Linked DNA regions of Drosophila melanogaster. The protein of the gene in region 2 interacts with the protein of the main gene of each other region in a pairwise test. Each region holds a gene or a part of one and is shown on either strand. Other genes may lie near its edges.

Region 1 (5,876 bases), 9.1 Mb from region 2:
GTGGTATGGTATATATGGCCCGACTAATTTCGAAATTTTTTGTCTACTTTTCAACAGCCTCGATTAGCCGAAAATTTATGTCTAACGCTGCCTGATCAGTATCGAGTTTTATACACGCTGGAGACCTGTGAACTAAAACGCACGGAGTCCTGTGCCCAACCGAAAAAGTTAAGTTTTTCAAGCACAAAGAACTTGGGATCAGTATAAGGTACTTATCTTATTATACAGTTTTTTCTTTCAAGCTTAAATCCTTAAATTAAGCTAACCATTCCCAAGCCTTCCACCACCAACGCTGCAATCAAGATAATTTATTTCTTCTCGATTTATTTCTCAGGTAAATGCACAACGAAAAGGTAAAGATTGTTATTAAGGATGTGATTTTGGTGTTATGTGTGTCCTAGTTTCGCCGCAGGATTTTGCAGGCAATCCGTAAAGCCTTGAGAACTGAAAAAAATGCAATGCCTTTTGAGCCATAATATTCCGTCTTTTCCATTTTGTTTTTTTTTTTCGTTTAATAGGTAAATGTATTTTTACTGCACTTTTGTCAACAACAATTTCGCTAATATTCAATGCACTAATCAAAGCTACATCCAACGACGACGGACTGACCTGACCGACCCATCGATTGCACCACCCATCCATCCCCCTGCATCGTTTGTTTGGCAGTGTCTCTCCTGCAGATTCGCGTGGCTGGGGCAGGGAATGGGCGGATGTGGTGATGGCCGGCTGACAACTAATCCAATCCAATCGAATCGCTAAGATGTGCAGATTCTCTTTATATTTGACTGTGTGTTGTTTGTTTTTAAAGAATATCGTATCTTTTATTTTGTTTGATCTTGTTGTTGTTTCTGCACTTGTCTGGCTGCTGTTATTGTTGTTGTTGTTGTTGTTGGGCGTGTGGGGATGTTAGACAACGTTCAAGGATTTCACGACTAGCGGAAAACCACGGACTTAGGCCTCCAGCTCCAGACCCACACCGATCTTGTGGCCGCCGGCATTGAAGTTCTTGCCATCGACCAGCGTGGACAGGGTCAGGGTGACTCCGTCGCGCAACTTCTGCTGGTAGCCCAGACCCACCTGGCTGGCGTTGTTCACCTTAGCGCGCACGCTGGCATCATCATCCAGCTGATACTTGGCGCCGATGGCGAACTTGGTGTTGCTGGTGCCGCTGGCCCACGACAGCTGTACACCCACATCCAGCTTGTCCGAAGTGCGTTGGAAGATCGAGCCGCTGAACTCCTGGCCATCGTTGCTAAACACCGGACAAGGCAATCATTAGTTTGCATTGATTTCATTTGCCATGCGTGGCAATTGCAATACTTACACAGCTGTGTGCAGAACAAAGTCCTTGGTGGTGTAGCCAAGGGCAAAGTTGTTGGTGGTCAGCTTGGACTGTTGTGTGTCAAATGCGGTCTGGTAGCCGGCCAACCATCCCTGGTAGCCAAGCACGGCAGAGGCATTGATCAAGGGGCCCTTCAGATCAATGTTCACATCCGAATCGGCCTTGACGTTCTCATGGCCGTAGGCAACCTTGAACTTGCCGTTCTTGTTTCTGACGATTTTTAATTAAATATGCAATATTAATTATTCTGCAGTGAACATATATGTAATAACATGTGATCCTTACCCAGACTGAGGAGCAAAGTTGCCCTCCAGGGACAGCTTCAGACCCTCGAGGAGCTGATCCTGGACAGCAACCTCGGTGAACAGCGTGTTGTCTGTGTTCCACTTCTCGGTGAGGGTCAGGCCGTAGTCCTTGACCTTGTACTTGGTCTCCAGGGAGCCGAAGACCTTTCCAGACTCCTGGTTGGAGTGTCCGGCTGTGTTGAACTCAATGCCCGACGAGGTCTTAGTCTTCAGATCGAGCTTCCACAGGCCAAAGTTGTAGCCTTTGCTGAAGATGTCGCGAGCCTGTTTGCCCAAATCGCTGTATGATGGAGGAGCCATCTGGAATGGATTGAAATGGAATGCATTAAATCGCACCTTCAATTAGTTGGTGAATAATCGATAATCATGACGATGATACTTATTGCGAAATCATTTCACTCGCCAGGTCATTAATTGCGTTTAGCGAACGATAAGTTTAATCTTATCAGCAACATAATGATTATTACTTTTTGCTCGACTTGATTTCAAAATGTTCTATCGGCCGCAAATGAAAAGTGAAAACTAAAAGACGCCAAAAAACAGCATCAACATGTCCCAAGAATTTCGAGGGCTTTTTCCCCATTTTCACTTTGGCTAAATGTCAATTTTGTGCGGCGAAAATAAAGAAATCAATTTAGATTAGTGTTCAAGGCGGCCACATGCAAAGAATCACCAACTGAAGCAGCGAAAATTCTGAGTGACTGAGGAGGGGGTCAATGCACGTCTGGGCAAAATAAAGTGGCGCAAAAAATAGAAGCGAAGATAGAAAACAAATAGTGACTAAGTCTATTTTACTCCAAGAAATTAAGGGTTTTCTATACCAATGCAAAACCATTTAAATCAAAATTTATTTTTCAAATATTTTTATAGGTTTTTTAAACTAAAATTTTAATAAAAATACTGAGATTTTCCCTATTTATCTGGCCACAGGTTTGCCTCTCTCTATGTTTACGTTCCGTTCTTGCTGGCATTAATTGCTGGTCAGTTCAGTCCCGTTAGGCTAGCGATCATTGACTCAGAAGCTAACTGCACATTTGCAACGTCTGCTGTGGTCACTGCTTCGCTGTTTCTATTTGCGTGACGTCAGGAATGCGACTCACAGTCGCGGTAGGAATATTAGTCGCGGATAAATAAATTTCTATCCGATATTGAGCATAAAAAAAATCAAACAAAAATAACCCAAAACATCTAATTGAAATTATTATATAGATATAACAATATAAATATTTCATGTTGTGTTCGGGGGGATTGGTGGGGGGAAACTCAAGGCAATCAAGGCAGAAAATTATGAAAAGCAGCGGCCAGCAGACAAAAATCTTTATGGCCGGCAGCCAAACGTTAAATGGGATGGGCTCTTATTGTTCCGGAAGTCAGGTGATATAACCTGGTCACTAGATGCTGAAAATAATACTATCAGGTGGATGTCCCGGTGAAAATGAATCAGCATCTCGTTGACGATGACCTTGACAAGCAGATTATAAAGGGGGTGGTTGGGTGGATGTGCAGCTCATTTTTTCGACAGTTGCATAACAGCAGGGAAATCGATGAGGGAAAGTGGAAAGCTAAGTGAATAGCTGCCCGAAAAGGTGGTCTATTGATTTTCCAGGTGACGTCACTGCGAAAATACCACCCACAATCGCGAAGTGCACCCACCTCCTCACATGACCACAAACAAACAAAACGACGATAAAGAACGGTAAAGAGTGAAATCGAAAATGTTTATTGAGCGAGCTGCACGCTGGTGGATGGCAACATGACGATAACGAACGGAATTGATGCGACATGCGTTACGTAACGGAAATTCGCCAGGCACTTTTCCATCGATCTCTCTGCTTCTTTGCCCCCTTTTTTCGCCGGCAGCTGCTGCCAATGAACTGCGAAGGCATTGGTGTGCGTGGACTGTTCATGTGTGGATGTGTGTGTGACAGCTAACCGGCTTAATATCCCCTTTAAATTTCGGATTTATCAATTAATTATTGCGTGATTTGGTGATAAGAAGCTCGCCCATCGTCATCCAACAAAAAAGTGCTCAGCCCTTTTGCTTTTCGTTCATGCGCGTGTCTACTTGCAATTTTTTCATTTCGAGGTTATGAAATCACTGGCACCGAAAATCCTGATTTTCCTTCTACCCATAGGGGTATCCATCACATTTCACTGAATTTTGAGGGGGTTTACTCCTGAGCTACTTACTTTTGATGAGTTTTAGTTTGGTTAGAGTGTAATGCGAAACGCAGAGGAACAGAGACACCACGACAAACGTACACCAAAAAATTTTGTAATTCTGTGCCTTAGTGTTACCAACCCTAAAAATTCGTCCAATAATTATTCCCTAAAACAAGCCGCAGATATACTATCTGGTAACGCTGCGTCACTCTTAATGGCAATGGTCACACTTTTTGTAACGGAAATTTGAAAACTAACGGTTACTTAAAATAATTATTGAAATTAGAATTCAATCATTCTATTAAGAAATTCGTTATCTTAAGAACAATTAACTTACATCAAAGTGTTTTTTTTTTACATAAAAGGGTTTCCTGCAAACGAAAACTTTAAAGTTGTGGACAAGTAAATGGGCTTTAAAAAAGTTATAATCCAAAGCAATCAAAATGCAATAAATATATTACAACTTTATTGATTGACACCAATGAAGTGTGTGCGATGCTCTTTTTATTTTTAGACGAATCTGCGTGCAGGGCCGCCAATCGACCGCATAATCCCATTCGGATGGGCCAAAAGCGAGACCAGTGCATTTGCCGTGCGGCGACAGAATGTTGAAGGCCCGTCTGCAGGAGGACGCCGTGCTGGGACGCTGCTTGGCCACCTCTAGCTCCGTGGAGCGGGGCGAGCTGGTGCTGGAGGAGCTGCCCTTCGCACGCGGACCGAAGCGCGACAGCGGAATCGTGTGCCTGGGCTGCTACCAGTTCCTGCAGTTCGGAGAGGACGGCGATTCGCTGGACCGCTGCGAACTCTGCGATTGGCCGCTGTGCGGATCGTGCGCCGACGACGAAGACGTCACGGAGCACCGCGGAGAGTGCCAGGTCTTCTCCGCCGCACGTGTCACTTTCGCCGGGAATGTGAGCGATGATGGCGTCTGCCCGCAGTTGGATTGCATAACCATATTGAGGTTAGTTCGCGGGCGCTCCAGCGGGGCGGGGGTGATGGTGCTGGGTACATCCGTACAGCAGGGGCTACTGGGTGCTACTAGGGGAACCTGGGCGGTCTGTCCGAATATTAGTTTTGGCAGCAGCGGCCCATTTCTCGCAGTTCGCAGGCTAGCCGGCATATACAGATTCTCATGGCGACTCTACGTCAAAGAAGGCGGACGGATGGATTAACAAGTCTGTGAAAGGGACAGTGGAGCAAATCGCACAGAAAATAAAAAATAAATAGCTAAATTTAAAGTGCATGAAAGTAAGGAGAAAATTATGGCATGAAACAAGCCATATTTGTACATATTATTATGACAGAATAATTGGTATATGATAGTTGCGGCGCGTTATGATCAATGTACCATCATGTTTTTATATATTTCGTAGCAAAACTGAACTGTAAGCACTGTGAATTATTATTTAAATAATGTTAAGCACATGTTTAAATAGATCGGTGCTTAGTACTTAGAAATAGAACTAACAAAGCCAAGCAACTTAAAAGTTACAAGCAACTTAAAAGTTACAAGCAACTTAAAAGTTACAACCAGTAAATTATTTAATTTATGAAAATGTAAGGTATTTTAGTTATTATAGAAATTGAACAATGTTTTCTCAAGACAATTTGTTCAAAACTAAAATTTCTCACCTAGGACCTCGCATGCCCACTGTGCCCAGCAATTTTGATGCTTTATGTCGGAGCAGGCAGAAATGTAGTCATGTAGTGGGGAGGAGGCATCATCTGTGGGGTGTGCCCATGACATGAGATCTGAGATCTGAGTGCGGCCAGCCGGCATCAGTCAGCGAAATGACATCGCCGCCAACGCTGTCGGTGAATAGGACAGCGGTTCAGTGGAGTCCGGTCTGCGGACGCTATCTGGTGGCCAAGGGAGCGATCCGTGGCCACGGTCTGCTGATCGAGGAGCTGCCCTTTGCCGTCGGGCCCAAGTGCAATGGACCGGTGGTGTGCCTGGGTTGCTACGAACCCAACCCAGATCCGGAGGAGGAGCTGTGTAGCGAATGTGGCTGGCCGCTGTGCGTGGAGTGCGCCCAACAAGCGGATAACGCCCATTTCCGCCTGGA
Region 2 (4,241 bases):
TATGATAAAACGCGACTATGCAAAGATTAAAAGTAATTGTCTAAGTAAGCACACAATCGTTTGCGTCACACACCTCAAGGTATTTAATTACATATTTTTAATCAAACGGTCTCCGATTTTCATAAATAAATGCAAACGTATCTTAAAGGTAGCCATGAACCAAACTCGCCATGTTTTTCTTTAGTCCTTATCTAACTAGCTTATGATATGATATGTCGTGACTAAAAGTAGAATATGGTATACATCGATGGAGTGATGTGTAGTAGTTTATTTTATATATCTTATCTTTTGCGATAATATGATGTTTTCCCCCAATGAAACCACTTCTAGTTGTAATTCAATATTTATTAGTTTCTTTGTATAAAATTTCTCTTGCCTTCCAAATTTCAGTTAAAAAATATTAAGTAAAGAAGAAAGGTAATGTGCATTTCCTCAGATAATACAATCACAAAGCGATTTCAGTTAATATTTTGCTTCGAGCGCCTTACTGTTAGATTACACACAAACACAAAGTTACAATTAATAAACACAATATTTATTCGCGGAAGGATTAAGAACGAAACGCAAGTGCCTCGACTTCGGTGCAAATATGCATTATTACAAATAAGATACAAATACTTATGGATACTGTCTTGAGGGCGGCGAAGTTGGCATTTTCGGCTGAACTCTGGATGAAGCGCGACTCCAAACGGCAACAATGTGGGAGGACAGTTGAAACGGGCGGGCAAAATTTACATTAATGTGCTTCTCGTGGTGTAACAATTTTCTCATGTAACAAATTTACTGCCTAGAAATGCGTATTTAATATTTTTTAGTCAGCTCTTTAGTCCAGTCCAAGCGGAGTCCTCCACGGAGCTGCTCAACACAATTGGGCGAGTAACAGCGAATTGGGTGGGTGCAGCCGAAATATTATGAAAATTATTTATATTTATGACAATATTTAGTGGTGACAACAGTGCCTTGCAATTCGAATATTGCTGCGCTCTTCTTGGGAGCAGCCAGCTTGTGGGACGCCCCTGGACTGGATTGGTTTATGTGGAAATTCAGCCTTCAGCCGCTCAGTACTCAGTTCGATTCGGGCTTGACATTGCGTCGCAGGATTGCCGCTGCGAGGTCCTGCTTCATGGCCGCCTGCTGGCGCTGATCGGCCAGTGATTGTGTGCTCCTTAGTCCGTTCACGATGTCCTTGGTCTTGCCAAAGTAGATCTCGTTCAGGGTGTTCCTGATCTTGTTCTCCATCTCCTCGACCATCTTGCCAATGTTGGCGATGTGCGGCGACGACTCGCTGACGTTGGCGTCCTGCTCCTGCTGCCGGGTGAGGGATCCGCCCAGATTCATGGTTCCCGAACCCTGTTTGTTGGTCTGCAGCCAGAGCATTGCCGTGGAGGTGAGCTTGTAGTGGGCCGTCCTGCCGGTGGTCTTCTCCTGTACCTCGACCACATGGATGGAGTCCCAGCAGCCGCGGATCATCTTGCTGCCATCTCCCGCCTTTTTGATCAGTATAACGGCGGCAAACCCGTGATCCAGATCCCATAGGTAGACGGAGGAGACGCCTCCCTCGTAGTACATCTCCCTGTACTGATCGAAGGCATAGTTCGCCTCGATTTCCAGTTTGCGCAGTCGTTCCGAGGGCATTTGGCCATCCTCCAGCGGCGGATAGTAGGAGTTCGACCAGGGCGATCTGTAGGAGTCCCCATCCCGGTTATAGTCGCACAGCAGATAGTCCTTGCCGTGCTCCTTGTCCTTGGCGATCTTCAGCGGCTGGTCCACGGAGGAGAGCAAGTCCTCGCAGAGATCCGGTGCCAAGTCTATCAGATCAATAAGGTTCTTCTCGATCTGCTGGGGCGGCAGCCTCCGCATCAGATCCAAAGCACAGTCCATCTGCATTTCCGACTGAGAAGAGAGGAGAAGAGACACCAGTGAAATTGAATTTGAGTCACTGCACCACCGCCGATAAGAGAGCCCAAAAAATCCCTCCGCTTTCCACTGCCACCCGGCAAACCAGGGATTACCATATATGGGCATTATTTGAGGCCACAGGCCGCCGCCCCTCTGGAGGTTTTCTCGGTGGATTAGGTGATTGCCAAGAATATTTGGCTTGCAGAATGGGCGGTTCCGACCAAAAACACCGTTTGTTGGCCTGCTTTTTTTTCTTGTTACTATTGTAGTATTACTCACCATTTTGGTACTTTCTGCTTTCCCTTGTTTCGATAGTTTTACACTGTTTATGTTAGGGGCCTGCGTTCGCTGAGCAGGGCCGATCTTAAACTCTAGCTAGGATTTCGGGCTTATATTGCAAGTGATTGCACTAAATTGACTCTTTTTCCTTATTATTAGGATTTTTTATTTTTGCTATGGTGTGCTAGAGCTGGAACACAGCCCGATTATTATGCGATATCGTTCATTTTGGTGGAGCATCGATTGCTCGCTCGATTTGGTATATCGATTTCTTACCCGCTAACTATCTAGCGGAAATATTTGAAAATTAACATAACGAATGGCAGTTACTTACTTACAAAAGGCAATAATTTGCAGTACACTTTATAAAAATAAACTCTGGCACTCAATCCGCCCGAAATAAAACCATGGTCTTACTTTTATTATATTTTAGCAACAAGTTTATTGAATTTAGTTTTCGTTCATATACTTTTATGCTTAATTCCATTCTGGTTGCCCATTTCCTCTCCGTGTTTTGTGAGTTTCTGTTACAATGCGTTTGGTTTGTGTGTGACTGTGGGTTTAGCTTACTCGTAGTTTTTAATATGTTACACAAAAATGTATGGCATAATCGTAAATTTTTATCCGAGTTCGTGTTTAAAATATATTTAAGCTGCTTCGCTTTCGCACTCTTCAGACATACATACATACTTATTTAGAAATCATATGCGTGCTCCGAAAACGTATCCTTCTGAATCGATCCTTGGATTTCTTGATTTTTACATTAATTTTAGCCAAATACGTAGCGTGTGGGATTTTGCCTCGTTAGTAGTAGTAGGTTCAATAAACTTAATTAACCGCTTTGGGCTTAGACTCGCGCTTCAAGTGCGCTCTTTAGGTGTATACTTCGACCATATACGATAAATGTAAAATCTCAGACTTTAATTTTTAACTAAGGTGCACTACATACAGAAATCGTTCAGAGAAATGTGAACTAAATCGAGGGATTTTTTTTCGCAGCTCTGGATTTTTAGCCAGGATAAAAACTGTTACAGGTGACTTGTAAAATTAGGGCAGGTTTCACTAATCTCGAATAACTTAGATAATTATAATTTGTATTTCTTAGTCGTTCTTTTGAAGTTTAATATTTCGGCTAATTAATATTGATTTATTTACTTATGCTCTGTCGCATGCTAGACACTGTGCCAATATTCGAAATCAAAAGCGGTTTCAGATTCAATAATAGTACATAACTCCATTTTCAATCGTATTTCTCGTTTCATCGTTTTTCTTTCGCTCAATAATTATGCAACACTTGCTTATCAACGCTTCTTCGACAATCAAATGTAATCACAGTTTTATGTTTTCCTTCTTTATATAAACTCATTTTCATTTAGCTATTTATTTCACTATTTTCGCATTTCGCGTCGAGTATGTGTGTGTGTGTGTTTCTGTGAGTGTGTTTGTTGTGGCTTGTTCTTCTTGACTTGTGTGGGTGGTAAAACTAAAAATTCTTAGGGCTGGTTTACTACACGCCTAGTCCTCATGTGCTTCAAAAACTCACCTAACCTTCTCTCAATCCTCAATCTTCAATCATCGATCCTCGATCTTCAACCTTTCGGATCCCATGCTTATGAACATCTCAACTCACTGATCCTTGCCATGATCGCATATTAGATTATTAATACTATTACGTATTTAGAAAACTTTAAGAATATTGCACAACTTGTGAAAATGCTGATTCTGACTTCTGACCGACTGCCCGCTCGATTCGTTATAAGTTTTTAAAAATATTTCATTTAATATTTAATACCTGAGTTGTTCATAATCGTTTCGCATGATTATTACATCCGTTTTGCGGTTGCTTTCATAATTTTTTTTTTTTTTATCGTAATACATATCGAAAAAGTTTCTGTTTTTCTTCTCATTATTTATTTTTTTTTTTTGTTTGTATTAAATGCATGTATACATCGTCGTGAGTCTTGATAATGCCCTGAGTTTGCTCCAAACGGATTTGCGTTTTTTTAAAACTATTTTTTTTTTTGTTTTTCGTTTAACCTTATGCACGTAAAGTACTTCTCATT

Evidence for each region. Proteins that work in one complex are often made in the same cells at the same time.
Region 1: the proteins of cpb (region 2) and porin interact in a two-hybrid assay, tested with the Drosophila melanogaster proteins (one large-scale study listed by BioGRID).

What each region holds. Positions count from the first base shown.
Region 1 is NT_033779.5:10,846,917-10,852,792, forward strand, and holds porin (porin), read right to left. Parts: upstream 3,933-5,876; 5' UTR 3,838-3,932; exon of another isoform or gene 2,600-3,837; intron 2,150-2,599; exon of another isoform or gene 2,115-2,149; intron 1,948-2,114; coding exon 1,628-1,947; intron 1,553-1,627; coding exon 1,325-1,552; intron 1,253-1,324; coding exon 952-1,252; 3' UTR 509-951; downstream 1-508. Other genes in the region: SmydA-3 (SET and MYND domain containing, arthropod-specific, member 3), read left to right, coding at 5,602-5,876. UniProt on the Drosophila melanogaster protein: Forms a channel through the mitochondrial outer membrane and also the plasma membrane.
Region 2 is NT_033779.5:1,703,052-1,707,292, reverse strand, and holds cpb (capping protein beta), read right to left. Parts: upstream 2,392-4,241; 5' UTR 2,182-2,391; coding exon 2,179-2,181; intron 2,163-2,178; exon of another isoform or gene 2,016-2,162; coding exon of another isoform or gene 2,013-2,015; intron 1,894-2,012; coding exon 1,066-1,893; 3' UTR 516-1,065; downstream 1-515. UniProt on the Drosophila melanogaster protein: F-actin-capping proteins bind in a Ca(2+)-independent manner to the fast growing ends of actin filaments (barbed end) thereby blocking the exchange of subunits at these ends.